Alligator mississippiensis: one gene and its partners. The protein of the gene in region 2 purifies or fractionates together with the protein of the main gene of each other region. This does not show direct contact. Links are inferred from orthologs where the notes say so. Each region holds a gene or a part of one and is shown on either strand. Other genes may lie near its edges.

Evidence for each region.
Region 1: the proteins of ADRA1D (region 2) and SNTB1 purify together in Homo sapiens (tandem affinity purification; 4 studies listed by BioGRID and IntAct, with this or other methods). This does not show direct contact. The link is inferred for Alligator mississippiensis from reciprocal best matches to the Homo sapiens genes ADRA1D and SNTB1.
Region 3: the proteins of ADRA1D (region 2) and DTNA purify together in Homo sapiens (tandem affinity purification; 4 studies listed by BioGRID and IntAct, with this or other methods). This does not show direct contact. The link is inferred for Alligator mississippiensis from reciprocal best matches to the Homo sapiens genes ADRA1D and DTNA.
Region 4: the proteins of ADRA1D (region 2) and UTRN purify together in Homo sapiens (tandem affinity purification; 4 studies listed by BioGRID and IntAct, with this or other methods). This does not show direct contact. The link is inferred for Alligator mississippiensis from reciprocal best matches to the Homo sapiens genes ADRA1D and UTRN.

What each region holds. Positions count from the first base shown.
Region 1 is NC_081826.1:22,274,435-22,282,461, forward strand, and holds the start of SNTB1 (beta-1-syntrophin), read left to right. Parts: upstream 1-5,007; 5' UTR 5,008-5,088; coding exon 5,089-5,614; intron 5,615-8,027. UniProt on the Homo sapiens protein: Adapter protein that binds to and probably organizes the subcellular localization of a variety of membrane proteins. May link various receptors to the actin cytoskeleton and the dystrophin glycoprotein complex.
Region 2 is NC_081825.1:8,461,074-8,468,630, forward strand, and holds the start of ADRA1D (alpha-1D adrenergic receptor), read right to left. Parts: upstream 3,025-7,557; 5' UTR 2,649-3,024; coding exon 1,688-2,648; intron 1-1,687. UniProt on the Homo sapiens protein: This alpha-adrenergic receptor mediates its effect through the influx of extracellular calcium.
Region 3 is NC_081826.1:79,295,339-79,302,828, forward strand, and holds the start of DTNA (dystrobrevin alpha), read right to left. Parts: upstream 3,090-7,490; 5' UTR 3,083-3,089; coding exon 3,001-3,082; intron 2,902-3,000; exon of another isoform or gene 2,898-2,901; coding exon 2,816-2,897; intron 1-2,815. UniProt on the Homo sapiens protein: May be involved in the formation and stability of synapses as well as being involved in the clustering of nicotinic acetylcholine receptors.
Region 4 is NC_081824.1:124,454,512-124,462,227, reverse strand, and holds the start of UTRN (utrophin), read right to left. Parts: upstream 3,020-7,716; 5' UTR 3,005-3,019; coding exon 2,911-3,004; intron 1-2,910.

The DNA of each region.
Region 1 (8,027 bases), on a different chromosome or scaffold from region 2:
CATCCCATCCTATGTTTTTAAGTTTAATTATGTTGATTCTCGGGGGGGTGGGTAATGTAGTATCTAATGGTTAAAACTGTTTCCTTGGTGAGCTAGGGTATGTATACTCCATGGTAGCCCCTTCCACCTCATTCGTCTTGCACACTCCAAATCCAGAAATTCATGGATGAGGCCCAAAAGAGGATGAGTTAGCTGCCCAGAAGCCTACTGGGGACCCAACTCTTGAGAACAGATACAAAGAAATATATGGAGCAGCCTAACCACCATATTCCTACCTAGGTGTGGAGTGTGCAAGTGGAACAAGGTAGGCAGGGTTTGCTGCAGAATATCACAGTGTAGGCATCCTCCTAGACAAGCTTGGTTTTGAAGCTTGTAGAAGTGGCATAGGCCAGTCCATAAAGAGATTAGATGCTGCAGTGCTCAGGGTCACAATTCCTGGCTGCCATAACAGAATCCATACCCCTTCCCCCTAGGCTCGTATTCAATACAAGGACAGACTTAGGTGCCTTAAAAAGGGATGTGCAACAGCCAGTATGCTCAGTAGGGACTTGCCTCAGGTAGCCAACAGTAAACACTGAAGGAAGAAGAGTGTTTTAAAGCCTGCTCCTTTTGAGGGGCTTAGTACTACCCCTTACACAGCAGTACCAGGAAGCGTTTACCTCCATGCTGGATTAATGTTAGAGAATAAGCAATACATGCTCTTTATTTCCAAATGTGAACAGGGGTCACTCTTTTTCTAAACCATGGTTAAAGGGGGTAAAGTTAACCCATTTGATCCAACAGAGTAGTGACTAGAATAGTTACCCAGGATGAGAGACACCTGGATTCAATTTCTCCTTCTGCGCCAAGGAACTTATACTGATTTCTCCCACCAGAGAGTCCTAACCTGCAGATTATGGGCTCTCTACTCCCTTAAGTATACAGCTTCAAGATTCATTGAATCAGAGAAAGGCAACACAACTAATCTCAATATGCAGGGGTGGGAGCAGAGATCGGCTCCAGTCCCTGCTCCAAGAACGATGTCAATATAAAATGCATAAGCAAGGAGGCAGGAACGAAACCCAGTATTCTCCTCTTCCCACAAGGCTAGTGAGTCATGTGGCTCATGCTCTCTTTTTTCTCAATGAATCTTTATTTTTCTTTATGCAAAATGAAGCAGCTTTAACATGAAAGAGAAATAAGGAGAGCTTTCTGTTCTCTCCATCCTTCTAAAATAACCCATCAACAGGAGGACACTTCCAGGACATGGTATATGTTGGCTTGAATCCCCTCAGGAAGAGAAGGAAATAACTCATATCCTGAGTGAGCACTCTAGCAGATTATTGGATGAAAGGAGGGGAGGCAGCTCCTCTTCCAGCCGTGTTATGAAGGAAAAGGGCTCTGCATGTTTTTCAGGGCCTGAGGGAATAGGCCTGCTCTGAGAGCACCTACTGGATCACAGCGAGACGGGGAAGAGCGCCTTTTACAGAGAACCCATTGAGGCTGAGGCGTGAGATGGAAGCCAAGCTGCTCAATCCTGTTACGACCAAGGCAGAACAGGGGCTGTGGCTTCTGTTTTAAGGTCAGGTTTGACGTGCAGGTTAGGTCGAGGATGGCTTATATAGGGATGATCCTGCCTTGTGCAAGGGGCTGAACTAGAAACTTCCTGAGCTCTCTTCTAGTGACCTTTTCTTGTATAATGCCACGTTCAGAACAGAATTTTAATATGAAAACCAGAGTTACATCCAGGCCTAGATGATAGATGAACATGGATTTTGAGGATCTATATTTTGGACCAAGGTGCCTAAGATTTGTGAATCTGGGCCTTAGCCATTTTGTGGATGGGAAAATTGAAGTATGGAAGGGTTACCCCACAATCCACCTCATAAGGGTATTAGGAAAATTAGCTAATACTTGTGAAGGAGTGAGAGACACTTAGGCTTCAAAAAGCCTGAGGCTGAATCAACGTTACACGGTTTTCTCTAAGTGGCGCTGTTTAGATAGATAGCAAACAAAACACATATAGTCCCTTTGGTTGGGGAGGGGGGACTGGCTTTGACCATTTTTAGACTGGCTTTGACTGGGTTTAGACTGGCTTTGACCATTTTTAAACTAGTCTGTGCGTGCTGAACTTCTGTTCTGTTATGGGCATAAACTGGTTTTACGTGCCAAACTTCTGTTCTGTTACAGGTATAGACCAGTTTTCAATCACTTATACCAGTAAAAGTGTAATGTCTGTACCTGGCCTTAGAAGAAAGGCATTAGAAAAGGACAAATACTATTCACCTTTCCCAACCAAGGTAACCTAGATTTTCCAAACTGTTTATTGATGTTACAGCCCCTTTTGTCCATTACATGCATAATCAAAAGAGACAGATCCTGAATCATTACACTACTGTAAAACCAACACTGGGTAAGAGGTCTAACCAAGTGATGGTTCATGAACTGGTTATTTTTATAACCAGTCCTTAATACATCTTAATTACTGATGTGGTAATGGCTGAAAATAATCACCATAGTTCTTTCTTTGGCCTGAGCATAATGACCAAGTGGCCTCAGCTCACTGCTTGGTGACCCAATATATTCCATGCTGTTAGCTCTCTTAATTTTTGGAGCTTTTCTGCTCATATTTCTGAGACTGCCTGAGAATCTTGTTGGTCACTAATAATTATTCTTTTAGCCCTCAGAATTTTAAAGTAAACTTGTAAATGTAATACAAGAGCCAAAAGGCAAACAAAAGAAACTGAACTGTGCTTATTCCCTAAAATAAATAATTGTCTATCTGGACACTGAAACAACTTGGAACTTTCTCTTTAGTTTTTACTGTACATGAAATCTCCTTCTTCATTTGTATAATTATACTTATTTAAATCTACTTCTTTCAAAAGTCATTTCTATTTGTTGACCAACTGCCTCTATGCAGTTAGTCTGTGAAACAGGCTCATACAGTGTTGAGAAAAAATGTGTATTTCAGCTATACCTTCACCACCCACCAGGGAAGTTAAGCCACCCACATCCCTTCCATTTATTTGTTTCACCCACCGTTGATAAGTGAGATTACAAGCTCTTTGGAGCTAAGGCTGTCCCATATAATACATGCAGCAGTCAGCACAATGGATTCCAGAACGTGGCTGAACCACTAGGTACTACTGTAATACAAATAAGTAATAACAGGATGTTATATGTTCGTTGCTACCCTGGTTAACAATTTAAGATACTTATTGAATTCTCAACCATTTCTGGATTTTTTTTTCCTTCTGCCTGGCCAGGAAGTTGCACAGCCTTCTCAGATATTGAATTCACTATTGCAATTAATGCTTTTGTTATCTCCTGATTTAATTACTGCAATGCTGTCTACACAAGCCTACATCTCAAGACCACCCAGAAAGCAAAGCAGAGCACAGATGTCCAATTGCTTAATAATACTCCACACCTATGCATGACAATCTGCTCTGGGTTTCATATAGATTCAAGGTGCATTTGAAGATGTTGTTTTTATTTATTTTATTACCACGGTCTTTAGGAGTACTAGCCACGTACCAGAATCCCATGTTGTTAGACAACATACAAATACAGAATTTGTTCAGGAGAGTTCATCATGTAAACCAACTGTAACACAAGAGATCACATATAACAGGTGAGCACATGTAAAGGATGAGTATTGATCAGCACGCTAGGCAATATAGTACATCACCAGCTTGCCTGTTTGAGTTTTCTGTAGGCATCGCAGCAAAGGAGAGTCGCAAGAAGAATCTGAAGGGGGGTGGTAATGAGGTGGCTTTGTGGATACTTACCACATGAGAAGCACTTGGATGAAGCATAAAGATGTTTGTTGAAAAATCCAGCAAGTAGGCAATGGAGGGTGACATTATAAAGCACTTAACAACTTAGGTCATGCGTGATCCACGGGTTGTTTCTTTCTCCCAGTGAAGCTGCTTCAATTGAGATTCAGCTAAAGGAGCCAGCAGTTCTCTGGTTCATCATACCAGGTGGGATAGTGGGTATTTTCAGTGAAGGAATTAACCCTGTTTTGCTTTCTGGTAAGAGCCTGACTTTAACAATCTTCTATTCTCTAAGTTCGTCTTTTCTCTGTTTTTTTTTCCGATGGTTTGTACCAGGATGACAGACATTGTGATTCTTGCTCGGGTCTTGCAAGCAGCTGTGCACAGAGCTGCCCATGCTGGGAGCACAGCTGTGTGCACATGGAGCAGCTTGTGGGATCACGCTTTGGTGGGGGGCGTTGAACCGGATTTGTTTTGGCTGTTTTTCCTAGCAGGTTGTATCACAGTAATATCCCCAGCAAATTTCCCCAGGAGAAAATGTGTGAGAGCGTGTACGTCTGTGTGTATGTGTGCGTGTTTTAAACTCAGTCACTCTGTCCCAGAAAGACAGCATCCCAGTCGCTGTAACTGCTTTCAACTTCACTCTTCCAAATAGCACCGTAATGACGGGTGGATCCAGGATTTTGAGAAAAAGGGTGCAGATGGTGTCGTACACGTTTCTCCAGTGAAAAAGAAATGAGAAGCTTCACTAATCAGCTAGGGGCCTGGAGCTATAGTTACTCAATTTAAAATGGAAGGAAAAAAAACCCAAACACTTTATTGGAGTGCCCATGAAAACTTGCGATGTCCTCTATTACCTAGAAGTCCCAACTCGACCAAGAATCACCCCAAGACACCGTGTCATTAGTCCTGTCGTCATAAAACCAAGCCTCCCCTTCTGGCCCCGGTGCCGGCGACCCGCGCGGCCCCTCACAGCGCGGACGGCCGCGTCCCCCGGAGCTGCCCCGCGCCGCAGCGCCTCTTTCTAGCTGCCGTTCACACCGGGTCGCGAGTCGCTCCGGCGAGGGCGCCCTTCCCACCTGTGGGACCGGGCCGAGGACGAGGAGCCCTGCCACCCTGTTTGCAACTTCGGCACCGGAGCCCCTGGGGGGAGGGCGGGAAGAGGAGGAGGAGGAGGGGCCGCCGCGCCCCGCCCCGCCCCGCCCCGTCCGCGGAGCGAAGTCCCGCGCTGCGCCGCGCCGCGCCGTGCAGTGCCGAGCCGCGCCGCGCCGAGCCGTGCCGGGTGCCGGTGTGTGCAATCACATGGTATTTTAAGAATGCTCCAAAGATGGCGGTAGCGGCGGGCGCGGGCGCGGGCGCGGGCGCGGGCGGCGGCCGGGCGCAGCGCAGCGGCTGGCTGGAAGTTTTGGTGCGGGAGCGCTGGCACCGGGTGCTGGTGCACCTGGGCGAGGATGCGCTGGTGCTCAGCTGCGACGAGCGCCCCGACGGCGCGGCCCACAACGGCCTGGGCGGCAACGGGGCGTCCCCGGGCGGCAGCCCCACGGCGGCGGGGGTGCGCACCGCCTTCACCGACCCGCCCGAGCAGGTGCCCGAGAGCCTGTCCAACCAGAAGCGGCGGGTGAAGGTGCTGAAGCAGGAGCTGGGCGGGCTGGGCATCAGCATCAAGGGCGGCAAGGAGAACAAGATGCCCATCCTCATCAGCAAGATCTTCAAGGGGCTGGCGGCCGACCAGACCCAGGCGCTGTACGTGGGCGATGCCATCCTGGCTGTCAATGGCACGGACCTGCGGGACGCCACGCACGACGAGGCGGTGCAGGCGCTCAAGCGGGCGGGCAAGGAGGTGCTGCTGGAAGGTAAAGGGTTAATGCGCCGAGGAGGGTTCCCCCCCACCCCCCCCAGCCCTGGTGCACGTGTGTTGGGTTAAGTGGAGTGACTCCGGTTTGGGGCTGGCTGGTCCCTGCTGGAAGGTAAAGGGTTAATGTGCTTGGGGGTCCCCCCCTAGCCCCAGGATGCATGAGTGCTGTGTGCGGCACGGAAGGGCTTAAATGGAGTGACTCCGGTTTGAGGCTGGCTGGTCTCTGCTGCCTGTGCCCTGGAGGTGCCAGGGGCAAGTGGGGTGGGGGCTGAGGGTCTCTGAGCTCTGCCCCCTCGGCCAGGGCCGGACGCAGGCACCCGCTCGGGGTCTGGACAGAAAGGGGGCCTGAAAATGGTATTTTTTAATTATGATTATCATTCTCTCTGGCAAAGGGGGGCAATACTAAAAGTTCGTCCGGGGCCACCAGAAGTGTAGGTGCCACCCCAGCCCGCTGAGCCTTGTGCCATGTCTCTGCAGTGACCCACGTGTGGATTGAAAGCGGCACCAGCGCCTTTTCATCCAGGCAAGCGCTAGGTTTGACTGGGCAGGGAGGAGTTAACAGCACCTGGGATCTCGGAGGCTGACAGCCCGGCCACTTTCACTCAGCCAGGAGAGAGAAACGAGCAGATCAGGTCGTGCAGGGCTGTGCCAACCCGCCTGGCCTGGAACGACTGAAATGTGCCCCCCACGCGCACAATGCCCCAGTTTATGCAAAGGGAGAGAATAAACTTGAGGGGACCTGGCCAGGGTCTCCCTGAAACATTCATTTCAAAACACGCAAAGCAGAGACTTTCCTTTCCCAAGCGCGAGACAGCCTTTTAGAAACCGCCCTCGAGACGGAGTCCAACATGCACAGTGCTCTAAAGCTTTGGCACACACCTCCGAGGACACCCAGCTGAAAGCAAGCGCTCCAAGGGTACGAAACAGGGGACAATGAGCTCAGGATCAGAAACAAAAATCTTCAGGCTTAGAAAAAGAAGAGTTTAACCCCCCCCCCCCCTTTTTGCTGGAGGGTTAATGTATTTACTAGATTTGAGAGAAGGAACAGCTGAAAAGAAGGGGAAAAAAACTCGGTGTACATTAGAGAGAAAATGCCCTTGGTGCCCATGTTTGATTAAAGTACCTGCTTGTTTGCACGTAAGTTCATTTATCGAAGGGTCATTGGCATTTGTGGAGCGGTGTGACACGCCTGCTTCTGGATTTTTTTTTTCTTTATCTCCTGTTTTGCTTTGAAATAGATTTGCTCAGTCATTTTTCAAGTGGTCCTTCTGATATTTCTAAACCACAGCAGCTTCTGATGTGCCGCTTTTGAATTACTAAGGAACTTTGGGACCCTCTTGCGGAGCCATGGGGAATTGGACCGCAGCCTCAGGGGTGCATTTGAGGTCGCATGCAAATTACTGAATGTGGGGTATGAAAAGGAAATGCCGTAAAAGCTTCTCTGGGGAGTTGGGGAGGAAAAGTAAACTCTAGCGGGGTCTTTGGCAGTAAAAAATGAGCAACCCATTGATCTGCTCTGCATCTTCTGCAGTGGAAAGTAACTGTACATCCTGTGGATCAGGAGGAATTAGCCAGCACTAAGTCCAGAGGATCTAACCGTCCCCTTCATCTAGCTTCACAGCTTATGAAGGCATCTTCTGTGTCAGAGAGGGAGAGAAAAAGGGAGAGGCTGCTGTGGCCAAATTGTGTCATTGGTTACACCCATGAAGCCCAGGGGCTCTGTGGGTACTAATATGGACAGCATTTGACCTTTGGTGTTGTCTAATGATTGACATAAGCAAACACTACTACTTTCTTAGGCATTTTTCTTCTGTGTAACACACGAGAAGCTAGTCTAGACATGCTGCAGCTGTGCAGCACTTGTAAAAGAGTCAGTTTTGTTCCTTGTGGGAGCAAAGATCAGGCCGTTTGACCATGGACTCTGTCTGCTGCTGTCCCCTCTGCCCCCGCTTCTCTTAAAGTGATTGCAGCTGCTGCCTTATGTTCTTTGATCCAGTGAAATGAATGCTGGTGTCTTTTGGCTCTTACTTCTGTGCCAGGATAGCAGTACGGGTTCATGTGCAAAGGCATATTTGAATAGTCAACCCTATGGATATTTAACATACTACTATGCACAGCTCTGTCACTGAAAGGCTTGCCTTGGACCAGAGTGTACTTGCGTCTGTGGCAGGAACTGAAATAAGAATTGCCCACAGTGTCCCCTTAGGACACGCTGTTCACTTCAGTAAGGAAGCTTGCTCTATGAATGGCTTGTGTAAGCAGTGTAAAATAACTTAGTGAGATCCAGTTTCCCACTTTGAAGCTCCTTCTTCAGCAAGGCAGCTTCAAGCAGGCTGTTTCTGACCTGAAGAAAGGCAGAATAAACGTTTTTCTCTTGTTTTGAAAGGAGAACAAGTGTGTTTTGCATCAGA
Region 2 (7,557 bases):
CTTGGCACCTCCCTGTAGGGTCAGATGACAACAGGATGGAGGGGGGGGAAAAAGTAGCACGGATAGCGTCAAAAAGATGCATTTTGGCCACTGCCTGACCCTGTGGGCATCCCTGCAGCAGTAACAGAGGGCATGAGATGGCTTTGAAATGTCCTGGGCTACAGGATTTCTCTAAAGTGGTTTCCTTTCCTGAGTTGTGTGCGTGGGCTGTGGTTGGAGAAGGATGGCTCGCAAAAGGGGGGCGCACATAAGGACTATGCTGAGCCATGCTGATTTACAACCACTGAGAGTCTGGCCTATTACAGTACTTCTGTTTGCGGGGGGAGGCAGGAAAGACAGCCAGGGGAACTCAAACTGCCTTTACTTTGCAGACGGCTTGGGCTGCTCCAAGGGGAAAATCCATCTAAGCAAGGTGCTAAAAGCTGAGTGTGGAGCCGGCAGCTCTGGTTCCCAGCAGGACAGAGGCGGCTCCCACTGCGTTACAGAAACACTGGCAGCAAGATTTTAACACTCAGAATAAAACCTGGGAAGATTTGCCAAGGGGAAGGGGAGGGGGCAATACTTATCCTAACGCAGCTCTGCCCTGTAAAGCATCTCAGAGCATGCCCGGCATCGGTCCCCTCTCTGGGAGGTGGGCATGGACTGCATGCCTTTTACGCACAGACACCCCGAAGCCCAGGGAAGTTAAATAACTCTCCCGATGCATCAGATCAAACCTCAAGCAGATTGAGTGTTAGGACCCAGGCACTGAGCAGAGGACGGCTGAGCCAACAGCACCTGAAACCCGGCAGCTTCACAGGGTCTCCAGGGAGTGAAGGCAGAACAGGGATTTCCCTTATTAAGGAGCATCACACACACTGGTACGAGTCAAGGCAGAAAGAGGCTTCCCTGCTCAAGGCTTCCCATATAATGATATAACACATGGGTTGCCCAGGCCAGGGGGCTAGCCCAAAAATCCTCCTGTCACTTTTACAGCCATACTCAAAAGATGGCCTCTCCATTTGCAAAGGTGATACCTGCTCTGTAGCCCATCAAAGCCAACAAGAGTCTTTCCATTAACTTCCATCAGCTTTGGATCAGGCCCTTTTTCCATCGGCAGCTCTGACAACTTACCTGAGGGTTGCAAGGGGCTGCCCGTCAGGAGCCTGTCACGGGGGTATGAGAAACTCAGACAACCCACAACAAGGAAACAGTGGAGAGGGAGCTAATACAAATGCCTCGACACTCGTGGTGCAAATGAAACATCAGGTTTCATTCTCTGCACGTGCCTGCCTGTGCCTGAACTTCAGCGTGCCTGTCAAAACCCTCCTGCTCTTTCTGGGCAGTTCGGAAAGCCTGTAGCAGCAAGTGGGCAGCATTTTTGTGTTCCTTCTCTACACCATGAAGTCAATTTGTGATAGAAAGTAGTGCCTTCATGGTGGGCATAATTGAAAGGCTCCAGAATGGCTGGCAGGAGCCTGCATCAACTCTGAGGACAGAGCTGTTTCCACATATTGCAAAGTTTGGAGCTGACTGATTTTAACTCCAGATTAGAGAAGGGCCCTATCCCCCAACCTTGCCTTGGGAGCCTGGAAAGTTGGCCCCTGGAGGACCTCAATAAGGGTGGGAAGGGGAGGATACTTCTCTCAGGTGGGGATCAGACACAGCGGGCACAGGGCCATGGGGGTTGGGGGGTGGATTCACTTACCGAAGGGCAGGACGAAAAAGAAAGGGAACCAGCAGAGGATGAAAACTCCCACCACAATAGCCAGGGTCTTGGCCGCCTTCTTCTCGCGGGAGAACTTGAGCAGGCGCACGGAGAGCGAGCTCCTGAGGTTGTGCCCCTTGTTCCTGGCGCTGGAGAGGGAATCCTCCAGCACGCTCCGGCAATGGATCCTCAGCACCACCTCCATGGACTTGCTCCGCTCCTTCTTGACCCCCGCCTCCAGGCTCTTGGTGGTCCGCCGGGCCACCACGTAGATCCTGAAGTACATCACCAGGATGACGGCCAGGGGCAGGTAGAAGGAGAAGAGAGAGGAGAAGAGGGCATACCCCGGCTCCTCTGTGATGCTACAGATGCTCTCGTCCGGCGGCGGGGGCTCCTTCCAACCCAGCAGCGGCCCGATGGAGATGACCATGGAGGAGAGCCACACCACCACCAGGATGACCACCGCTTTCCTCTCGGTCATGATGGCCGGGTACTTGAGCGAGTACTTGACGCCGATATAGCGGTCCACCGAGATGATGCAGAGGCTCATGATGGAGGCCGAGCAGCACAGCACGTCCACCGCTGCCCAGATGTTGCAGAAGATGCGACCAAAGACCCAGAAGCCCAGCACCTCCAGGGTGGCCGAGAAGGGCAGCACCGTGGTGCTGAGCAGCAGGTCGGCGATGGCCAAGTTGACGATGAAATAGTTGGTCACCGTCTGCAGGTGCCGGTTGCAAGCCACCGACAGGATGACCAGGATATTGCCCACGATGGCCGAGAGGATGAAGAGCGCCAGGAAGACCCCCAGCCCCACCGCCTGCAGGTCCAGCCCCGGGCTCAGCGACGTGCCATTGCCATCCGCGGCACCCTCGTCCCCCGGCGCCCAGCTGCGGTTGCCCGGGCTGGGCGCCGTCTGGTTGCCCTCGGGCGCGCTGGCATTAAGCGGGGCGGGGAAAGTCATCGTGGCCGGCACCGGACTCCATGGAGGGCAGTGCCCGGCATCCTCCCCCCAGCTGCCCCCTGCCTGCAGCCCCCCACCCCGCGCATGGGGGTCCCAGCCCGGCTCACCTGCCCCCGGGGGTCCAGCTGCAGCCGCAGAGACACGCAGCCCCCGTCCCGCCCCTACCTCCCTCCTGCTGCCCCCCGCATCCCCGCAGGCAGCAGGGGGGACCCCGAGCCGGGGGCTGCAGGGCAGCGCCGGCTTCCCAGGTGCTCAAACTTTGCAGGAGCCGCTCGGGGAGGCAGGGAGGGAGCGAGGGAGGAGCTGGCTCAGCCTCCGCGCCCGCGATTGGAGCGGCCGCTCCGCAAACTCCTCCTCGAGCCGCGGGCCGGGCGGGGAGCGCAGGGGAGGGGGAGCCGGCAAGGCACCGGGGTGCTCGCCCTGCCCTGCCCTGCCCTGCCCTGCCCTGCCCCGCGCCCTCCCGCCCGGCCGGCCGGGGGGATGCAGCGGCGGCCCCGCGCACCGCCCCGCCATGCCCGCGCCGGCCGCCGGGCGGCAGCAAAAGGCCGGCTTTGGCGGCCCCCGCGGGCTGCTTGCATGGAGAAGGGGAGGCATGTTCAGCCCCCTGAATGGGGGATGCTCCTGCCCCAGGGATGCACTGCGCGGGGGGCAGCCCCGGTCCCTGCCCCGCAGCATCCTTCAGCACCAGCCTCCCCTGTCCCCCAGCACCCACCTATGAGCATGTGCTGCGCACCCTGCGAGACCTCCGCAGGGCTGTGCCAGGCGTGCCCGACACTGGAAACAGTCTCCAACCCTGTTGGCAGGATGCAGGAGGAGCAAGAGGGCACGCAGGGCTCTCAGCCCCTGCTAGTAATGCCCCACCATCTCCACAGCACCCCATGGAGATGCCCCACCATTCCCAAGTACCCCATGGAGATGCCCCACCACCTCCTGGTACCCCATGGAAATGCCTTACCATTTCCCAGTACTCTGTGGAGATGCCCCCATCACCTCCGAGGACCCCATGGAGATACCCTACCATCTCCTGGCACTCTGTGCAGATGCCCCACCATCTCTCAGCACCCCATGCTGATGCCCTACCACCTCCTGGCACTCTATGGAGATGCACCACCATCTCCTGGTACCCCATGGAAATGCCTTAGTATTTCCCAGTACCCCATGGAGATGCCCTACCACCTCCTGGCACTCTATGGAGTTGCACCACCATCTCTTAGCACCCCATGAAGATGCCGCACGATTTTCCAGTACCCCATCGAGATGCACCACCATCTCCTGGTACCCCATGGAAATGCCTTACCATTTCCCAGTACTCTGTGGAGATGCCCCCATCACCTCCCAGGACCCCATGGAGATACCCTACCATCTCCTGGCACTCTGTGCAGATGCCCCACCATCTCTCAGCACCCCATGCTGATGCCCTACCACCTCCTGGCACTCTATGGAGATGCACCACCATCTCCTGGTACCCCATGGAAGTGCCTTAGTATTTCCCAGTACCCCATGGAGATGCCCTACCACCTCCTGGCACTCTATGGAGTTGCACCACCATCTCTTAGCACCCCATGAAGATGCCGCACGATTTTCCAGTACCCCATGGAGATGCACCACCATCTCCTGGTACCCCATGGAAATGCCTTACCATTTCCCAGTACTCTGTGGAGATGCCCCCATCACCTCCCAGGACCCCATGGAGATACCCTACCATCTCCTGGCACTCCATGCAGATGCCCCACCATCTCTCAGCACCCCATGGAGATGCCCTACCACCTACTGGCACTCTATGGAGATGCACTACCATCTCCTGGTACCCCATGGAAATGCCTTACTATTTCCCAGTACCCCATGGAGATGCCCCACCACCTCCTGGCACTCTGTGGAGTTGCACCACCATCTCTCAGCACCCCATGCAGATGCCCCACGATTTTCCAATACCCCGTGGAGATGCCCCACCATCTCCTGGTACCCCATGGAAATGCCTTACCATTTCCCAGTACCCCATGGAGATGCCCCTATCATTTCCTAGTACCCCATGGTGATGTCTTGTATCTCCCAGTCCCCACACTGGCACCCTTCCTTCTCCCATGCCACCCCTCCCAGCTGGCACACCCCAGGTGCTGCAACACCAGCTCATGGCTCGATCTCAGCCTGCAAAAGAGCTGTCGGGAAAGAGGACCTCCTTCCAACTCCAGAGGCACAGGGGAGGAGGAAAGCCCTTGCTAGGAGGGAGTGTGTGGGCTGGGCTGGGATCCTGTGTAATCAATAAGTCACCCTCTGTAATTGTAACTCCCTGCAAGACTGCGAAACAACAGATTGTGATGGAAATGTATAGGCACTTGTTTGTGACTTGTTTACATGGTCTCTTTTCCCACTGATAAAAGCAGATCCTGTTTACACTGATTTATTTCTAATGAGCCGTCCCTCCAGCCCCCATACGTTATGGCAGGAGAGTGACCTGTGTGCTCTGCTGGAATTGTTCCGAAGCCAGTTTTTAGCGCACACAGGAAATATTTGCCTTCAGTCTGTTTATCTTGCATTTTAACAACCCTCTCTCTCTCTTTTCAGTCAAAATGACTGATTCAGTGGCAACATAAATGCGCAGGGAGGCGACTTGAGCTGTAGCCCAAGCGGAGGTGTGTACTCATTTGAAGATCAAAGCTGGACAAAATTGCCCATTTCCTTGAAAAAGATAGTGGAGAAAATGTCAGTTTTCATTTTTTTTTTACCTGAAGATTTTCCTCTTCCACTATTTTAATTGTGGAGTTGGGAAGAAAGAAAACCCAAAATTTCTTTTTTTTTTTTTGTGCTTTTCTCATTGTTATTGCAAACTCACCAAAAACCAAACAAACAAAACCCCAGCTGAAAACCTTCCATTACTGGCCAAAATCTTTTTTTTTTTTTAATATAGAAATGTTTCAGGGTCAAAAACAATCTATCAGCATTATTATTTAGCATTGTTTCTTGCTGGGAAACGAAGTTCATCTTGGTATCATTTGAGTTTCAGGATATTTGTCGCCTTATCTGCATAGCTCTAGATAGATTCCCCCTCCAGATAAATGTATCTAGTCTGATCTATTTATTTTCCCATAGAGATAATGAAAACACATACATTTTTTCCACAATTAAGGCTGAGCAGATTTTTTTGCTGTAGTGCAGTATTCAGTTTGAAGGCAGATGTCACTCATAATCAATATGGCACCATAGGGTAAAACTTTGATTGTCTGGAGCCCTTAGGGCTTGTCGGCTTGCAGAGTTGCAGTGGCGTCACTGAACGTTCGATTTTAAACTGATTTTGTTCAGCTGGTCCAAGGGCTGGGTGGAAGACTTGGAGTCATTCATGGGTTAACCAGTGGTACATCGTGCTGCTCTAATTTAAAAATGCTGCAGATATAGAAATACAGGGCTGGAAAGGGTCATCTCCATCAGTCCTTGATAACCACACATAACACTTCCCACCTTAGGGCCAAGTTTGCTGCTGGATAAAACAGGCTTTAAAATACCTGCTTGTCAACCTGCTTGGCAGTGAGAAGCCCCAATATGATTTGGTCTAAGATTATGCCTCTGACTTGACCCCCCCATCCATGTGTTCATGGCCAACTTTCTATTTAAACTGGGATTACTTGGTTTAGAGAAAACTGTTGAGGAAACAACCCACTCTGTAACCCAAATAACCCACTCCTGAGTGTCCACACTCACACTTGCCCTGGCTTGATTTGAGGTAATGTGCAAATCTGTGGGTAGACAAGACCAAAAAACACCAATCCGCTCAGTTCCTGATTTGAAGGTGCAAAATCTTTGCCTTTTGACAATTGAGGGTGCTTGACACATACTTGCTCAGTCTCCTCTAGCTTCCATTTGACTTCATACGTACCACTTGGCATGGCGGGCAAATGCAGAGCCAAAGACAGTCTTGTGAAGGGGGCGGCTTTTACAATTAAAATAAGACATTAACAAAAACCCCCAAAACAGCCCATCAGTTGGCTCCTATTATTTGTTGTTAACATTTGTATAGTAGGAACACCACAGGAGGCAACAGATTAAACAATTATTTGGAAAAGGGACGGATTTAAAAAAAATATTAAAAAACCCCAAGGACTTCACATTTCACTCAGTCAGATATGTGCTCTGAGACGCTTCCAAAAGCCACAATGGGCAATTATGGTAAGTGGTTTCTAACCTTAGGAGCTCACGCATTCCAGAAAGGTTAAAAAGGCCACAACCAGCACAGGGGGAATGCTGGGAAAGCACTGGATGACTTGGGTTATGCGGCTCTGTGTCCAAATGAGAGAATTGTGCTGACAAGTTGAACTAAGTTCACTTTTAGCTTTATTGCCTCTCTTGCGTGAACCTGCTTGAGTGAACGGCTCTGCCAAACTTGAACGAGGCTTTTGCTTGTGGACATGAGTTGAGTTCAGGGCAACGTTTGAGCTATGAAGCTCAAATGACCTTTAAAGGAGCGATCCCCTTTGCGTGGTTCAGGCAATTCAATGAGGGTGCTTATTACCCAGTCCCCTGATGGGAAAAGTGGAGCTGGAACAGGTTTCCATCTTACAGCACATTGCAAAGAGGGCATTTCAGTGGTAGGAGCGTGGACAAGCTGGAATATGCAGCCAGTATGCGATCTGCTGGGCTTAAGTTTAATTTTGTAGCAGCAGTAATATCCCTGTGTAGAAAAAAAGCAGAATCTCAAGGAAAGGGAAGAAGGAAAGAAAAGCTTACGAACCAGTTGAACGGTTATATTTTCAAGATGCTTCTTAGCATAGCCTGGAAGACTCCATTATTAAGGCTGCTTTTGATAAACGGTTACAAAACGTCAGGGTAGAAATTAGTTTGGATCATGGGGAAAAGCATGCAAGAGCCAAAGGAGCGTGTGCTGCAGGACATGATAGATTGTCAAAGTCCTCTGAGCTCA
Region 3 (7,490 bases), on a different chromosome or scaffold from region 2:
TTGTTCTTCACAAGTAATTCCCTCTGACTTTCAGTTGTACAAAGAAAATAAGACTGAGCTTCTTTTTACACCAAACTGTTTCCACTGACTTCAATTCAGATATATTAGGATAATGATGCTGACCCTTTTACAAGCTGAAGTCAAAAGAATAACACTAGTATACAAGTGGTATGAGGAAAAAAATTGCTTTACAGACCCTTTCATTGTCAAAAGCAAACCAACCAAGCAACCAACCTCCACTTCTGACCTTTTCTAAAACTTAATAAATTTCTACCCAACAGTTTCACAGACACCATCTTAATTTTCAGCAATTTGTAGGTTTTGAAAATCAACAGGAGTCCACGTGGGTGTAAGCGACTCATCAGCTAAATTCAGGATCAGGGCTTGACACAGTAATAAGTAACAGGAGATGCCAGTATGTTTGAGGATGCATCGTTTTCTGCAGGCTACCATTGGTTTATACAAACAATAATGCACAGAAATTGTTCATGGAAATTATTACACATGAACACAACTAAGCAGCCACATACACAATATTAATTTTTTTATTTATATGCTCAGTTGTGGTTGGGGGACAATTTTGTATTTACTCTTGCCATTGCAGAATTATAACAACATATTCTGGTTAAAACTATAAGTGAACTATAAGTTCACTGGTTAAAACTGTAAGTGAACACTTTAAGTGTTCAGGACACAACATTTGTAATTTATGCATGATATTTTAGTGGAGGGGATTAGGTTTGGTCTTCAGTTGTTTAATATTAAATTCTACCTCTTGATATATCAAACATTTTAAAAACAAAGTAGATACTCAGGCAACCACACACCCACACACTTATAACGTATTTCATACATTTAAGGCAATGTATTTGATATTGCCTAAACAGGGAATTTAGCCATTGACTTCAGTAGGAGTAAGAGCAATCTCCAAGAACTGTCAGTGGAGCTGTTATCTTTTAAGGGGTACTGAAAAGTCAAACTAGTTGTGAAGGTGGCTTTTAACACACGCTCATACATTCTCTGTCAATAAAGCAACAGTAAGTACAAGTACACAGCACTCTATACCACTCTTTCATGAATAGTGTATTGGGTGCTCCAAGTATGACAAAAACCTGCTAGTACATATGCCCACCACTGCTGGTGATACAAGTGCTACATCCTGACATTAAATTGAAAGTCTGGGAAACTGCTGTTGGATTCCACAGCAAAGATAGGATTAAAAGTGAAAATCTCTGCCTTTTTTTCCCCATGATGATGACATCATTTCCCACACTGACAACAATAAAGTGAGAAATAAAGGTAAAAAAGAAGAGTAAGTTACATAACTTCAAGCTTGCGACAGGATTTAAAGATGAGAAATAACAAGCTTACAATATTGCTTCAGCACTTTTTACTTCACAAAACTCATTTGAAGACCTCTTAGGTCACTGATATTTATCAGGATTTATTAAGTGGCATTTATTCACATTAGGGCTTTAAACAGTACTGAAAACATTGTAAATGCTGACAGATGGATCCCAACGCATATTTATGAGGTTCATCTGACCACAATACCTCTAGCACCATTTAATTTTAGCATTTAATAATTATTCCATGGCATAAAAGATATCCCACAATGTTAGGAACTAGTCAATCTGTAGTAACTAGGATGTTTACTGTAAATGACTGAAGTTAGTAAGTTAGCAAGTAGGTAAATAATTATACATACAAGGATTATATATGATCATATATTTTACAATAATTTATTTATCAAGCATTAGCTTATACAACTATATTTCATAGGATACCTACAACAGTGTTCCCTGACATATTTGTTAAGAAATAAGAGACTGCACACTGTTAAATTCAGGGGCGAAAGGGAAATCAGGACCTGCTCTTTGAAGTGTTTGATTGTTACGCATCTGAGCTTGATTCTTTTCCCTTTTCATTCCTCCACTAAAATCCATTGTATGTGCCCCCATACACAAATACAGTACAATGACCAGGGTCATAAACAGAACAGCCAGTAGGTATAAAGGCCAGTGGTAGGCAATGTGCACTTTTACTACTGGAAAAAAAAAGACAACAACTACTGAAAAACTGAAGTACAGCAGAAGTCAAAAAACATTATGTCTTAGGCCTATGACAGTTTTCCTAAGCTTCCTCGCACCATACACATACACACACACACACACACACACACACACATATGTGTACTCCCTTTCTCCACATGAATGCATACCTTGGTGGTATTTCCTAATGAAATACCTGATGCCCAATAGTCACCAGCCATTGTAGGAAAGAGAGCTCTTGCCACAGGGATACTCAGCAGCAGGCATTGAGTTATGACCCTTGTTTCCCTCTTTCCCAAAGAATCCAGCATCAGCATCTCTCCCTCCATCTCCATAGCAGGACCAAGACCAGCTTGGGTATTCGCAGCCAGGAAAATCGCATGCCTAGCGACCAAGCACCGTACCCAGGGGAGCCGCACCGGTGTCTATTTAGCTAGATTTAAAAGTAGGCAACAGGCTGAAGCTCCCTCCCTTCCCGCCCCTCAGCGCATCCTTCCCCTTAGCCATTTCCACTGAAACCGCAGTGCATTGCAACACTAGCAGCCGCCTCTGGCTCAGGAATATTCATCCCCCCCCCCCCCCCCAGTACTAAATACTCCTCAGAGTCTTTGCAGTGGTGGGAAGAGTCCTTAATGGAGGCTTCAGCATCCTCTGCAGCCCTTTGGCTTTTGCATGGGGGCGGTGGGGGGGGAGTGAATAAAGGGAGGTGGGGGAGAAAGTAGAGGTGAGGGACAAGATGAGTGAAGGAATGAATGAACTGCTACCTCCAGAAAGGCTCTGTGGGTTGCTGCTGCTGCCTGCTCCTGCTCCTGCTCCTGCTGTCACAGCGGATCAGCTGATATTTACCTGTGAGGTAATGCACACTCTGTAAGGTCACCATGCACCCGCTGAAATACAGTGCAAGGCAGCAGGGACGCAGAGAGAGGGAGCTGCTGCCGCCACCGCTTACCACACTGGAGCGAGGAGGATGCACCGCGCCTGCTGCTGCTGCTGCTGCTGCTGCAGCTCCTGGCACATGCTGCAGGTGTCATAGCAGAAACTGCCCTGCCTCACCGAGTCCTCATCTCTTTTCTGCGCCTGCGCCAACCCCCTGGCGGGCATGTGCGAAGGCTCCGCGCATGCCTAGTGGGAACGTGAAGCTCAGATGAAGCCGCTGCCCTTACTCCGCCCTTTGCCCGGAGCTTCCGTGAGGTTCTCTTCCCCCCGCCTCCCTCGGAGCTTGGCGCCGGGCGGGCGGGGGGCGCAGCGCGAGGGGGTGACGTATTGGGGGTGGAGGTGCCGGGCGGGGGCTGCAGGAGCCCTGTGCAGGATGATGTCATGTTTTGTTTGGCAGAGGTTGCTGCGGGCGGAGGAAACCCTCCTCTCTGATGGAGAGGGGGCTTTTGGCTTCCTCCTCGCCCTCCCGGTGTGCCAGTCGCGCCCCACACTTGGCACTTTGTGCCCTCCTTTGCCAGCATCTGAGGGAGGGAGCTGGGCTTCCCCCGCTCTCCCTCTCTCCCCCTCATTCAGGCTATGAAGATGCATCTCTGCTCTGCCTCCTCCCTTACTTCAGGCTCCTGTCATCCCCTCGTGCCCAGCACAAAGGGGGACGATTCCTCTGCTGCAGAAGCGTCTGGCGGATTCCTTCCCGCAAAATGCCGGGTGGCGGTGCTGGGCAGGTCACCCCGGCCCCCTGGCCGTGGCAGCCAAAGCCCTGGGGGGACCAAAAACGTGAATAAGGGCTTGCCGTACAGTAATTTTGGGCTGCTCCTAGAACATCTTAACCCCGGGATTGTCCCCACACCTTAGGGTGTGTACAGAAGTGCTCCATGGACATTTTACAGGACTATAATTCAGAACATTTTTCACAGCACTGTACAGTTACAGTGCTCTTCACCAGGATAGAAGTGCAGTGTTTGCGGGGGAGGTCTGAGCCTCCCTGCACTTTCTGGGCTAGGAGTCAGGGAGTGCTCTGCAGCCTCCTGGGGCTTCTCCACTGCTCAGAAATTTGACCAGCATATATAATTTATTTAAAGCACTGTAGGTTGCTAAAGTGCTGTAAAATACCTCATTTAACAAGGGTTAATGTAAAGCACTGTACCCATTTTGAAAGTGCTATAAGGCCCTGCACTTCTGTTCAGTCGCGGAAATAAAGTGCTTTAAATGGCTACAGAAAATGGCAACCAACTTCTGTACACACTCTTAAAGTGGTTTTAAGCACTCATTATGCAGCTCAAAGTTATGCTACTCCAGGACAGGATTCTCTCTGATCTGCCCTACCCACCTCCTGTTCCATTAAGGCGGGGCGGGCAAAATGCAACCCGCAAGCCGGATGTGGCCCACCAGGCCATTTTATCTGGCCCGCGGGGGCCCCTAAAAAATTTAGAAAAATACTATTTATCTGTCCCTGGCTGCCTGTCATGCAGCCCTCGATGGCTTGCCAAAACTCAGTAAGCGGCCCCCTGCCTGAAATAATTGCCAGTCCCTGCATTAAGGTGTAGCCACTCCCCACAGATGTGCCACCCAAGTTGAAGTCCTCCAACATCCCAAGATCTCACACCCCTGCCTGGAGAGCAACCAATAGTGGCAAAAGAACAGGTTAGGGACTATTTAGCAAAGCTGGCAATTACAAGTCCATGGGGCTGGATGGGATGCACCTGGGGGTGCTGAGGGAGTTGGCTGATGAGACTGCAAAGACACTGGCCATAATCTTTGAAAACTCATGGTGATCAGAATAAGTCCCAGATGATTAGAAAAGGGTAAACATAATGCCCATCAAGAAAGGGGAAAAGGAGGATCCAGGGAACTATGGACCACTCAGCCTCACCTCAGTCACTGGAAAAATTGTGGAACAGATCCTCATGTAATCCATTTCTAAGCACTTGGAGGAGAAGACGGTGGTTAGAAACAGTCAGCATGGATTCACCAAGGGCAAGTCTGGCCTGACCAACTTGATTGCCTTCTACGATGAGACGACTGGCTCTGTGGATGCAGGAAGACCACTGGATGTGGTATATCTTGATTTTAACAAGGTTCTTGAATAACATTCTCACAGGCAAGCTAAGAAAGTATGGGCTGGATGAATGGACTGTAAGGTGGATAGAAAACTGGCTGGAGCATTGAGCTCAGAGGGTGGTAATCAATGGCTCGATGTCTAGCTAGCAGCCATTATCAAGTAGAGTGCCCCAGGGGTCAATCCTGGGGCTGGTTTTGTTCGGTATGTTCAACAACAACCTGGAAGATGGCACAGAGTGCACCCTCAGCAAGTTTGCAGATGACACCAAACTTGAGGGAGCAGTAGATATGCTGGAGGGTAGGGCTAAGATTCAGAGTAATTGGGACAAATTGGAGGACTGGGCCAAAAGAAATCTCATGAGGTTCAACAAGGACAAGTGCACAGTTCTACACTTTGCACTGAAGAATCCCATGCACCAGTACAGGCTGGGGGCTGACTGGCTGGGCAGCAGCTCTGCAGAAAAGGATCTGGGGGTTACAGTGGACAATAAGCTGAATATGAGCCAGCAGTATGCCCTTGTTGCAAAGAAGGCTAATGGCACACTGGGCTGCATTGGTAGGAGTGTTGCCAGCAGGTCAAGGGAAGTGATTATTCCCCTCTTTTCAGCACTGGTGAGGCCACATCTGGAGTATTGTGTTCAGCATTGGGCTCTCTACTACAAAAAGGATGTGGAAATATTGGAGGGTAAGAAAAATAGTGAGGGGCCTGGGGAATATGACTTACAAGTAAAGACTGAGGGAACTGGGCTTATTTAGTCTAGACAAGAGAAGACTGAGAGGGGATTTAATAGCAGTCTTCGATTACCTGAAGGGAGGTTCAAAAGAGGATGGAGCCAAACTGTTCTTAGTCACGGCAGATGACAGAACAAGGAGCAATGGTCTCAAGTCACAGCAAAGGATGTTTACACTAGATAGTAGGAAGAAATTTTTTACTAGGTGGGTAGTAAAGCACTGGAACAGGTTAACCAGAGAGTTGGTACAATCTCCATCCTTGGAGGTTGTTAAGACCTGGCTAGACAAAGCTTTGGCTGGGATGATCTAGTTGGGGATGATCCTGCCTTGAGCAGGGGTTGGACTAGATGACCTCCTGAGGTCCCTTCTAACCCTAATTTTCTATGATTCTATGATAGAAGCCTATTCTGGCTCACCAGCCCTATAGTGTCAACTCATACCTTCAGCTCCTAGTCCTGCCCCTGATCACCAGGCTGCCAGTGGCAAGTCACAGTGGTACAGATGGGGGACAATCAGACAAGGTTTCTAAACTAAGCTTGTGACTGATCCAAACTCCAAGCTAGCATTCACACTGATCAACATTTGTGCATCTTACAGCATAAGATGCAACAAGGCCCTAATGCTGTCACAACCTTACCCCAACAGCATTGTCCTTTGGAGATGGAAGCCACTGGAAACAGCAGCCCCTCTGCTTTTTCTGAGAGCTAACAGATATTTGAGCCCACGTCTCCCCTTTCACACACTTCTTGTAATGCTTAATTAATTGGGGCTTCAGAACCTACCAGCCAGAAGGATTTAGACCCCATTCTTGCAAACAGTTGTTTACATGCTTAGCTTTACTCCTATGAACAGTTTGTCAATGGGACTGCTCACAAAAGCAAGGTCAAATATGCTTGTGTTTGTAGGGTTGGGGCCTCAGGAAGGCTATAGGTCCATAGAATCATCAAGAAGTAGGGCTAGAAGGGACCTTCAGAGGTCTGATGGCTTGATTTAGAAACGTGATGAACCCCAGAAATTCACACTTACTTCAGTGTTTCTGAAAATCCTGATATTTAGATGGCCAAAGATGGGTTTAGGAAGCCACCTTTAAGCACTTGTTTCCAAGTACTAGAATTCACTTATTTTCCCCAAACACAGTTTATCTTACCTGTACAAGAAGCATTCACTGTTGTCCGGATACCACAAGATGCCTAAGGAACAGGGAGTGTGGCACTATGCTGCATCACTTTCTTAAATGTATATTGCCTTCAACCAGCACACACTACCTGAAAACGAAAGGGTGGTATCTTTATTACAAATATAACATGCACTGTTTAAAAAAAACACAGTATTTTAAAGTGGTTGTCTTTTTCTGGTCTGCTTTCACAGATTTTCCCATCTGGTTTCGGCTACATGTGAAAACTGTGACTTGACAATGTGTATAATTTGTTAGATAATGCAAAAATAACCCTTGAGGTTTTGATCCTGCAAAGCACTACTCATCACAAGACTTTTGGGTGAAACTGTGCAGACATGAGGGTCAGTGCTAAATGGACCCTGTTGTTGTTCTGGGATTTTAATTGACAGAAGAGCAACATGAAGAGATGACAGTGTCAATTGGGGTAAAGAGACAAGAAACTGGGTAGAGGGATGTAGAAGATACAGTATCCTGTGAGATATTTAGTGGTTTCATATATACACACACATATAAGATGGTACTCCATCTCAAAAGAG
Region 4 (7,716 bases), on a different chromosome or scaffold from region 2:
TTACAGAAATTATCCCGTAACTATCCAAAAGGTCATAAACAAAACTGTTCTGAATTTTCATCCCCTTTGGAAGGCAGTGAGCTCACCAAGTATGAAGGCATAAGGACAGTAGACCTTAGGACGCAGGCAGGCACTACGCAGTTCCTGTAAACGTGCTGAGACAGAATTCAGAACAAGCGGGGAGAGAATAGATAGCTAAATCATAAGAGAATGTCTGTTAAGAGACTGCAGACAGTTAGCTATGGGGTTTTTAAAGGCACAAGGCACTCAGAAATTAATTTTTTCTTAACCAAGATTATTTTGCTCTGGGTGTTAAGAGAGAGATGAGAGAGAGACAGGAGTTGTGTTTAATTCAAGGTATGGATACAGGGCGTTGGCTAGCTCTTGAGAGTCCCTAACTCAAATCTGTCAAATATTAGACTTCTAAGAAGAAATTCAGGATTAACTACAGCTTCCAAAAAGGAACCGAGTCACTCCTCTGCCCTGCCTAAGCCTAGAACATTTACAAATTTGTGCATTTTCTAGAAACAGCTAGCCACAAGTAAACCATATAACCAAATACTGCATACAACATGCTTTCTAAGCTTGTTTAAAACTTTACATCTACGCTTTCCCACCTTCTGTATTTTATTCCCCAAAAGAATAAAAGAACAAAATAAAATATTTTATTTTATTTTATTCTTTTGTTTTCCACCTATACTCAGAAGGGTATTTTACCCTCATATTGACTTCTCTTTTTTTCATCCTTACAATATTTCAGCTTGCTTGTTCTCTTCAAAACTGAACGAAATGGAGTTTGAGAAACTATTTGCATTTAGCTTTTCTATTTAGTTTCCAGTGTTCTCTTCCTCCCCCTTCCCCATTCCCAAATCCAATCTATCCTAATCTTTCTCTATCAATTTTAATTCCTTTCCCTGGGGTCATTTTAAAGTATCTGTGGCATGTCTGTGTGTGCCTTAACGTGCAGCAGCCTATTCTACTGTGCATTAAAGTGGTGCATAAAAAAAGTGCTAATATGCTAATGAGCAATAGAATAAGCTATTGCACATTAAGCATCACCTAAAAAGCATGTGCTTACACTACTGCACATTAGTGCAACCTAAATGCGCATTTATTTAGTACCTCTTATTGGAGGCACTAAATTTAATGCATATTAGGAAAAGTGCATTAATGCACACATAGATGTTCCCAGTCAATGTATATGTCCTTCACACACTCCAAATGAGCATTACAGATATTTTGGACAATGCAGTAATGAATTTGACAGCGCAGTAATGAACTTTAACCTTATGGGAAGAAAGCTAATTCTCTCTACGAGAAGCTTTTAAACCAACACAAAATTCTGCATATTAACACACATCTAGCACTTAGAGAAGCAATTAGCAAAAATTTAACTAGGAGGGTTTACATTTGTACTCCATCCCTATTCACAGTTTGGACTGAGCACGCTTAGAAACTCATCCGTGTATAACTAGAGCAATGATTCTCAGCCAGGGTGAACACACAGCTCCCTAGTGCAGCAGTTCTCAATCTTCTGAGACCGGAGGCATCCCTGGACATATTTGAGGCACCCTTCAGAAAATGCCAACTAGTTTTCACTCATTTTTAACTACAGAAAAAAAACAGAGCTTTTTTTCTCTGTAAAAAACTCAGAAAGACCACGACTATGGATTTATATAGGAAATCTCTGGGTTTTTGTGAATCATGTTTGTAAACTTAACAGTGCTAACATTCTGTGGCAATTTATGGCACCCTCAAAAGGATCTCAAGGCACTTGTAAAGTTATAACTAAATCCACTGAGCATGCCCAGAAATTTACATCAGCTAAAATGGAAGTTTAGGCTGGATTAGGCCCTTAAAAGAATAAGGGCTAGATGCAGATCTCATTTATTCTGCTTAAACACCAGATCAGCTCCATTGCTCCAGATCTATGTACATATTTATGAGACTGTAAATAGATCATATTATATCACTTCACTTAAAATCTGAAATTCCTCTCTTGTTCTAGTATCCAAAATTCAGGTCAAAACTGAAATGAAATAAAACAGATGGGCTAAACTCTCTGTTGCTTAGCTAGTTTGGAGTCAATGGAGTCACTTTATATTATCAAATAATCAGTCTCCAAGCTGACTGGCATGAGGCCCTTAAGGTCTGAAATACCATGCCCTGTCAGAGGCATAATGTCATCTAGAACACTGAGATTCACCTATGTGGATGTCTTCACACTGACACTGCTCTGCTAGTCACGTTTTTTTTGGCTTTGGCCCCATACCACTGGAACTAGCAATCCCTAAAAAGTCTCAACAAAAAAAGAAAGAGTGGTCCCAGTTTCTTCTCTACCAAAAGTCCACCTACTTTATTTTTCATTACATCAGATTTCATTCATCTTTACTGGAATGTAAATGGTGGTGAAGTTAAGGATGTATGTTAATTCAATATGCTCAGCAATCACAATGAGCAGAACACTATAAAAGTGCAGTCAACAAGATCATCAACTGAAAATGATGTAGTTTCCTTTCTGATAAAAAGAAACATTAGCAAAACTGTCCAGCTTCCTCTCATGTTTAATTTTTACATGGTTTCAAAGGAAGCCAACCAGTGAAAGAATAGGAGAACTTTCACCAAATGTATGCTGAGAAGAAATATTTAGATTAAAAAACAGCTGAAGGTGAACGGATCTGAGAGTGTTTAGCCAGCCACAATTCACACAGTACTTAAAACGGAGTTGTGCCACAAACAGCAGATTGTAAACCGTCTTTTCCTTGGACTGTTTCCTGCCTGTCTTCAATGACATGTTGCTATTAGACTTAGAAAACTTACATCAGATAAAGGTAGACAGAAATAACATTCATTTACTTTTTTTTGTCCTCTGGTCTTGAAAATACACTTATGTCTTAAATACTTACTCACCTGGTAGAAGAGAGCAAGCCTGGATGTCAATATCCCCAGGCATAGAAAACATATGCTTTTTCCACTGAAGTTTTTTACATGTCTGGATGCTCATGTTCAAGCTTTATGTTTAAAAACAGGAAAATGAGGATGGAAAGGAAGTGCCTGCAAGTACACTCATGAGAACTGCATGCTGGGATTTGAAAGGGAGGGTGGGAGGGGAGAATTTGTTTTTTTTAAGAGGAGAACTTGACAAACTGCAACAGTGTGAGCCACTCAGGAAACAAGTAAACTTTTCAGTATTAAAGAATATATGCAAACAATGTGGGCTCAAATGATTAGAGAGAGGTCCCTATTTATAAAGGTACCAATATACTGCTGGGTGTTCTTAACAAAAAGTTAATTCTTTTCCTTCCTGTTTTCAAAACTATAGCAAGTTAAAAACTCTACAGGGCTGAAGGTAGGAAAGAACCTGTGGCGATTGCCCTCTGCTGTTCTAAACAAATAGCCTGCTGAAGTTTCAAGCAACGTCCTTTAAAAGCTGTATACATACTCCTGTTAGCTACAAACAACAATGACCATTGATAAAGCACTTTGCTTCTCTGATTTTTTTTTTTCTATGAAAAGCTATCTGTAATAAACTGTTCTGAAGGCAGGTACCAGTTACATATTTTAGTTTGGGTATTTCAAAGACGTACAAGGAATTTAAGCACTACATCTTCCTTTCATTTTAGCAGATCGCTGGTGAAACCCCACTGCTGATATGAAAATCCCAACGTTTGTTTTCATGTAAGCTACAAAGATAAGATCATCATGAAGTAGACACACCAAGACAAATGCCAGAGTATCAACTCCAAGCAATCTTAAGGTCACCACACCCAATCTAGGTATAGGCAGCTAGTGGGGCAGGGGGACTAGCATGGCCCCAGGCTGGGGAAAGTGGCTGGGGCTTCCCCAGCCCTGGGGCTGCACCATAAACACATGCAGATGTTCACAAGCTCAGGTTTCCTAAATCAGGTTAGCAGAATATCAATATATGCTTGTACACCTACTTAGGTGAACAACATTTAAATCAGGCATGCCTTTTTTGCCCAATTTAAGACCTCTGAGCACTTGAATGATTGGGCATTTAGATCAGCCTAACCCTGGTCCATTTCCTTATCTGACCCTGGTTTGGAACAACTGTACATACCTGAAATTAACGATAAGTTAAAAATTACATTTAGCGCATACACACAGAAAACATGCAACTCCGCTCCCACCCTTCAAATGGTCAACAGAAGAGCATGCTGAATCTCAGAAATGGCAGATTAAAAGTGCTTCAATTTAATTCTGAAACATGCTTATGAAAGTCATGGTTACACGTGCTTTAACACAAGCTATATTTTGTATATTTCTGATGGTAAATGGTAAGTAACAACAGGTAACTGAGGTAACTGGGATTAAAAAGATTAAAGAAGAGTTTATTAGAGAGGAAAAAGGTAGAAGGAAAAGTCCATGTAGAAAGGATACTACCCAATTTACCACAGATATTGGCATTAAAGTATATTTTAGGAATGGTGGCATATTTCTACCTGTTTTATTTCTTTATTCATAGATGCTGGGGTCAGAAGGGACCTCAATAAATCATCGAGTCTGACCCCCTGCATAGGCAGGAAAGAGTGCTGGGTTCAGATGACCCCAGCTAGATGCTTATCTAACCTCCTCTTGAAGACCCCCAGGGTAGGGAAGTGCACCACCTCCCTTGGGAGCCCGTTCCAGACCTTGGCCACTCGAACTGTGAAGAAGTTCTTCCTAATGTCCAATCTAAATCTGCTCTCTGCTAGCTTGTGGCCATTATTTCTTGTAACCCCCGGGGGCGCCTTGGTGAATAAAACCTCACCAATTCCCTTCTGTGCCCCCGTGATGAACTTATAGGCAGCCACAAGGTCGCCTCTCAACCTTCTCTTGTGGAGGCTGAAGAGGTCCACGTGCCCCAGTCTCTCCTCATAGGGCTTGGCCTGCAAGCCCTTAACCATATGAGTGGCCCTTCTCTAGACCCTCTCCAGGTTATTCACATCCCTCTTGAAGTGTGGCACCCAAACCTGCACGCAGTACTCCAACTGCGGTCTGACCAGCGCCCGATAGAGGAGAATTATCACCTCATTGGATCTGTTCATCATGCATCTGCTGATGCACGATAAAGTGCCATTAGCTTTTCTGATGGCTTCGTCACACTGCCGACTCATGATCATCTTGGAGTCCACTAGGACTCCAAGATCCCTTTCCGCTTCCGTGCCACCAAGCAGGTCATTCCCTAGGCTGTAGGTGTGCTGGACATTTTTCCTCCCTAGGTGCAGCACTTTGCATTTCTCCTTGTTGAATTGCATTCTGTTGTTTTCCGCCCACATGTCCAACCTGTCCAGATCTGCTTATAGTTGTTCCCTGCCCTCCGGCGTGTCCACTTCTCCCCACAGTTTTGTGTCATCCGCAAACTTGGACAGAGTACACTTCACTCCCTCGTCCAAGTCGCTGATGAAGACATTGAAGAGTATCGGTCCAAGGACCAAGCCCCGCGGGACCCCACTGCCCACACCCTTCCAGGTCAATACCGACCCATCCACTACGACTCTCTGGGTGCGACCCTCTAGCCAATTCACCACCCACCAGACTGTGTAGTCATCCAAGTCACAGCCTCTTAGCTTGTTCATCAGTATGGTGTGGGATACCGTATCGAAGGCCTTCCTGAAGTCTAAGTATACGACATCAACCCCTACTCCTGCGTCATAAAAAGAGACTAGATTACTCGGGTATGATCTACCTGCTACAAACCCATGCTGGTTTCCCCTCAGCATAATTTGCCCTGCCGGGCTCTCGCAAATGTGAGCCTTGATAATTTTTTCAAAGACTTTGCCAAGGATGGAGGTGAGACTGACTGGCCTGTAGTTGCCTGGGTCCTCCTTCCTCCCCTTCTTGAAAATGGGGACCACATTGGCCCTTTTCCAGTCCTCCAGCACCTGGCCCGTGCGCCATGAGTGTTCAAATATTACCGCCAGTGGCTGTGCAATGATGTCAGCCAGTGCCTTCGGTACCCTCGGATGGAGCTCATCCGGGCCTGCCGACTTAAACGCATCCAGTTCCTCCAAGTGACTCTGCATCATCTCAGGGTCTACGCATGGTAGTCTGGTACCTTGCTGCTGCCTCTCTACAATCCCAGTGAGGGCCTTGTCCTGCCCCTCACTTAGGAACACTGAGGCAAAGAACTCATTGAGGAGTTCAGCCTTGTCCCCCCTGTCTGTCACCAATTGCTTCTGCCCATTTAGTAGGGGTCCTATTCCACCCTGGGCTTTCCTTCTACTCCCTATATATCTAAAAAACAATTTTTTGTTATCCTTTACTTGGGATGCCATCCTCAGCTCCATGGTAGCTTTGGCCTGTCTGCCTCCCTACAAGTGCGAGCAGAGGAGGTATACTCCTCTTTGGTAATCTCTCCCCGTTTCCACTTTTTATATGCTCCCCTTTTAGTCCACAGGCTGCCCTGGATTTCTCTGGTCAGCCAAGGAAGCCTCCTGGCCCCTTTCCCTCTTTTTTCTCGCATCGGGATCATCTCCCTCAATCCCTCTTATTCATTTTTCAGATTGATTAGCTTTTCCCAATTAAGTTTTTCCGTGATTCAGACCAGCTTGTCATGGGGGGGGGGGGGGGGGGGGGGGGGGGGAGAAGAGAGAGAAAAAAAAATTGATTCTTATGCCAGTACATGTTTTATTAAGAGTTATTTAAAACTGAAGGTCCTATAATACAAGCACACAAATCAAGAAAGCAGTCTCATTAAACTCCCACACAATCTTCCCCAAACGTTTGCATGTGCAACCCATAATTTGTACCTTAGTAACTGTAAATTAGATTGTATATTAATGGGGAAAAAATTACATGAGGTAGAAAACAAGACTTCATATTTAAATCTATGGATATTACTGCAATGCCTAGAAAGTCCAGTTACACAGTAGGATCTACATTAGTATGGAAGAAAGATAGCCCTTCCCCCAAAAAACTTCTAATCAGATGAAAGTAAATGGGAGAACATTTATAAATGCTAAATTAAAATTTCACATACACTTATATTAGCCCTCTTTATGTTCTCATTGGACCTGACCCACAGTTTTCCACTGATCCAATGACCATTGCGGTACGGTCTCCTACTTAATGTGCACACTACTGGCCCAGTAACATTCATGAACTACATGCAAGTGAAATGAAACACTTCATCCAATATGTTCCTGACTGACTATGATGTTACCCACCAACTAAAACATGCACTACTTTCAAAAGAGTTTTCAGGTGTTCAAGAGCAAGTTCTACTTCAAAAACCCAATCTTTCAATAAAGGTGGCATAAATACTGTATCAGTAAAATTTCCAGTACATATAAAAAAAATCATGTTAATAGTATGATTTACAAAGAATCATGTATTGCAGGGGTGTCAAACTTATGTCCCACATGGCTAGTAGAGGAGCCAGGAATTCAGAGCCTGCTGCCAAAATAGGAGGCACACAGCCCTGTTTGCAATGCATTTCAATGTGGGGGGATGAGCAACAGCTGTGTTAATCTCTGCAACCATTCATGCTGCCATATCCAGATCCAGCCTGTGAGGAGCCTGGCAGTACAGATCCAGCCTGGGGGCACAATGAGTTTACCGCCCCTCCCCTCCTTTCCCCCCCCACCTACCCCCATCTACATTAGTAGAGAGCAGGAACAATAGCACACTAAAATACTTTTAAGTAAAAATGACGTTGGGTCCATATGCCAGAACATACTGGATACTGAAAGACATCAACTTCAAGATATGATA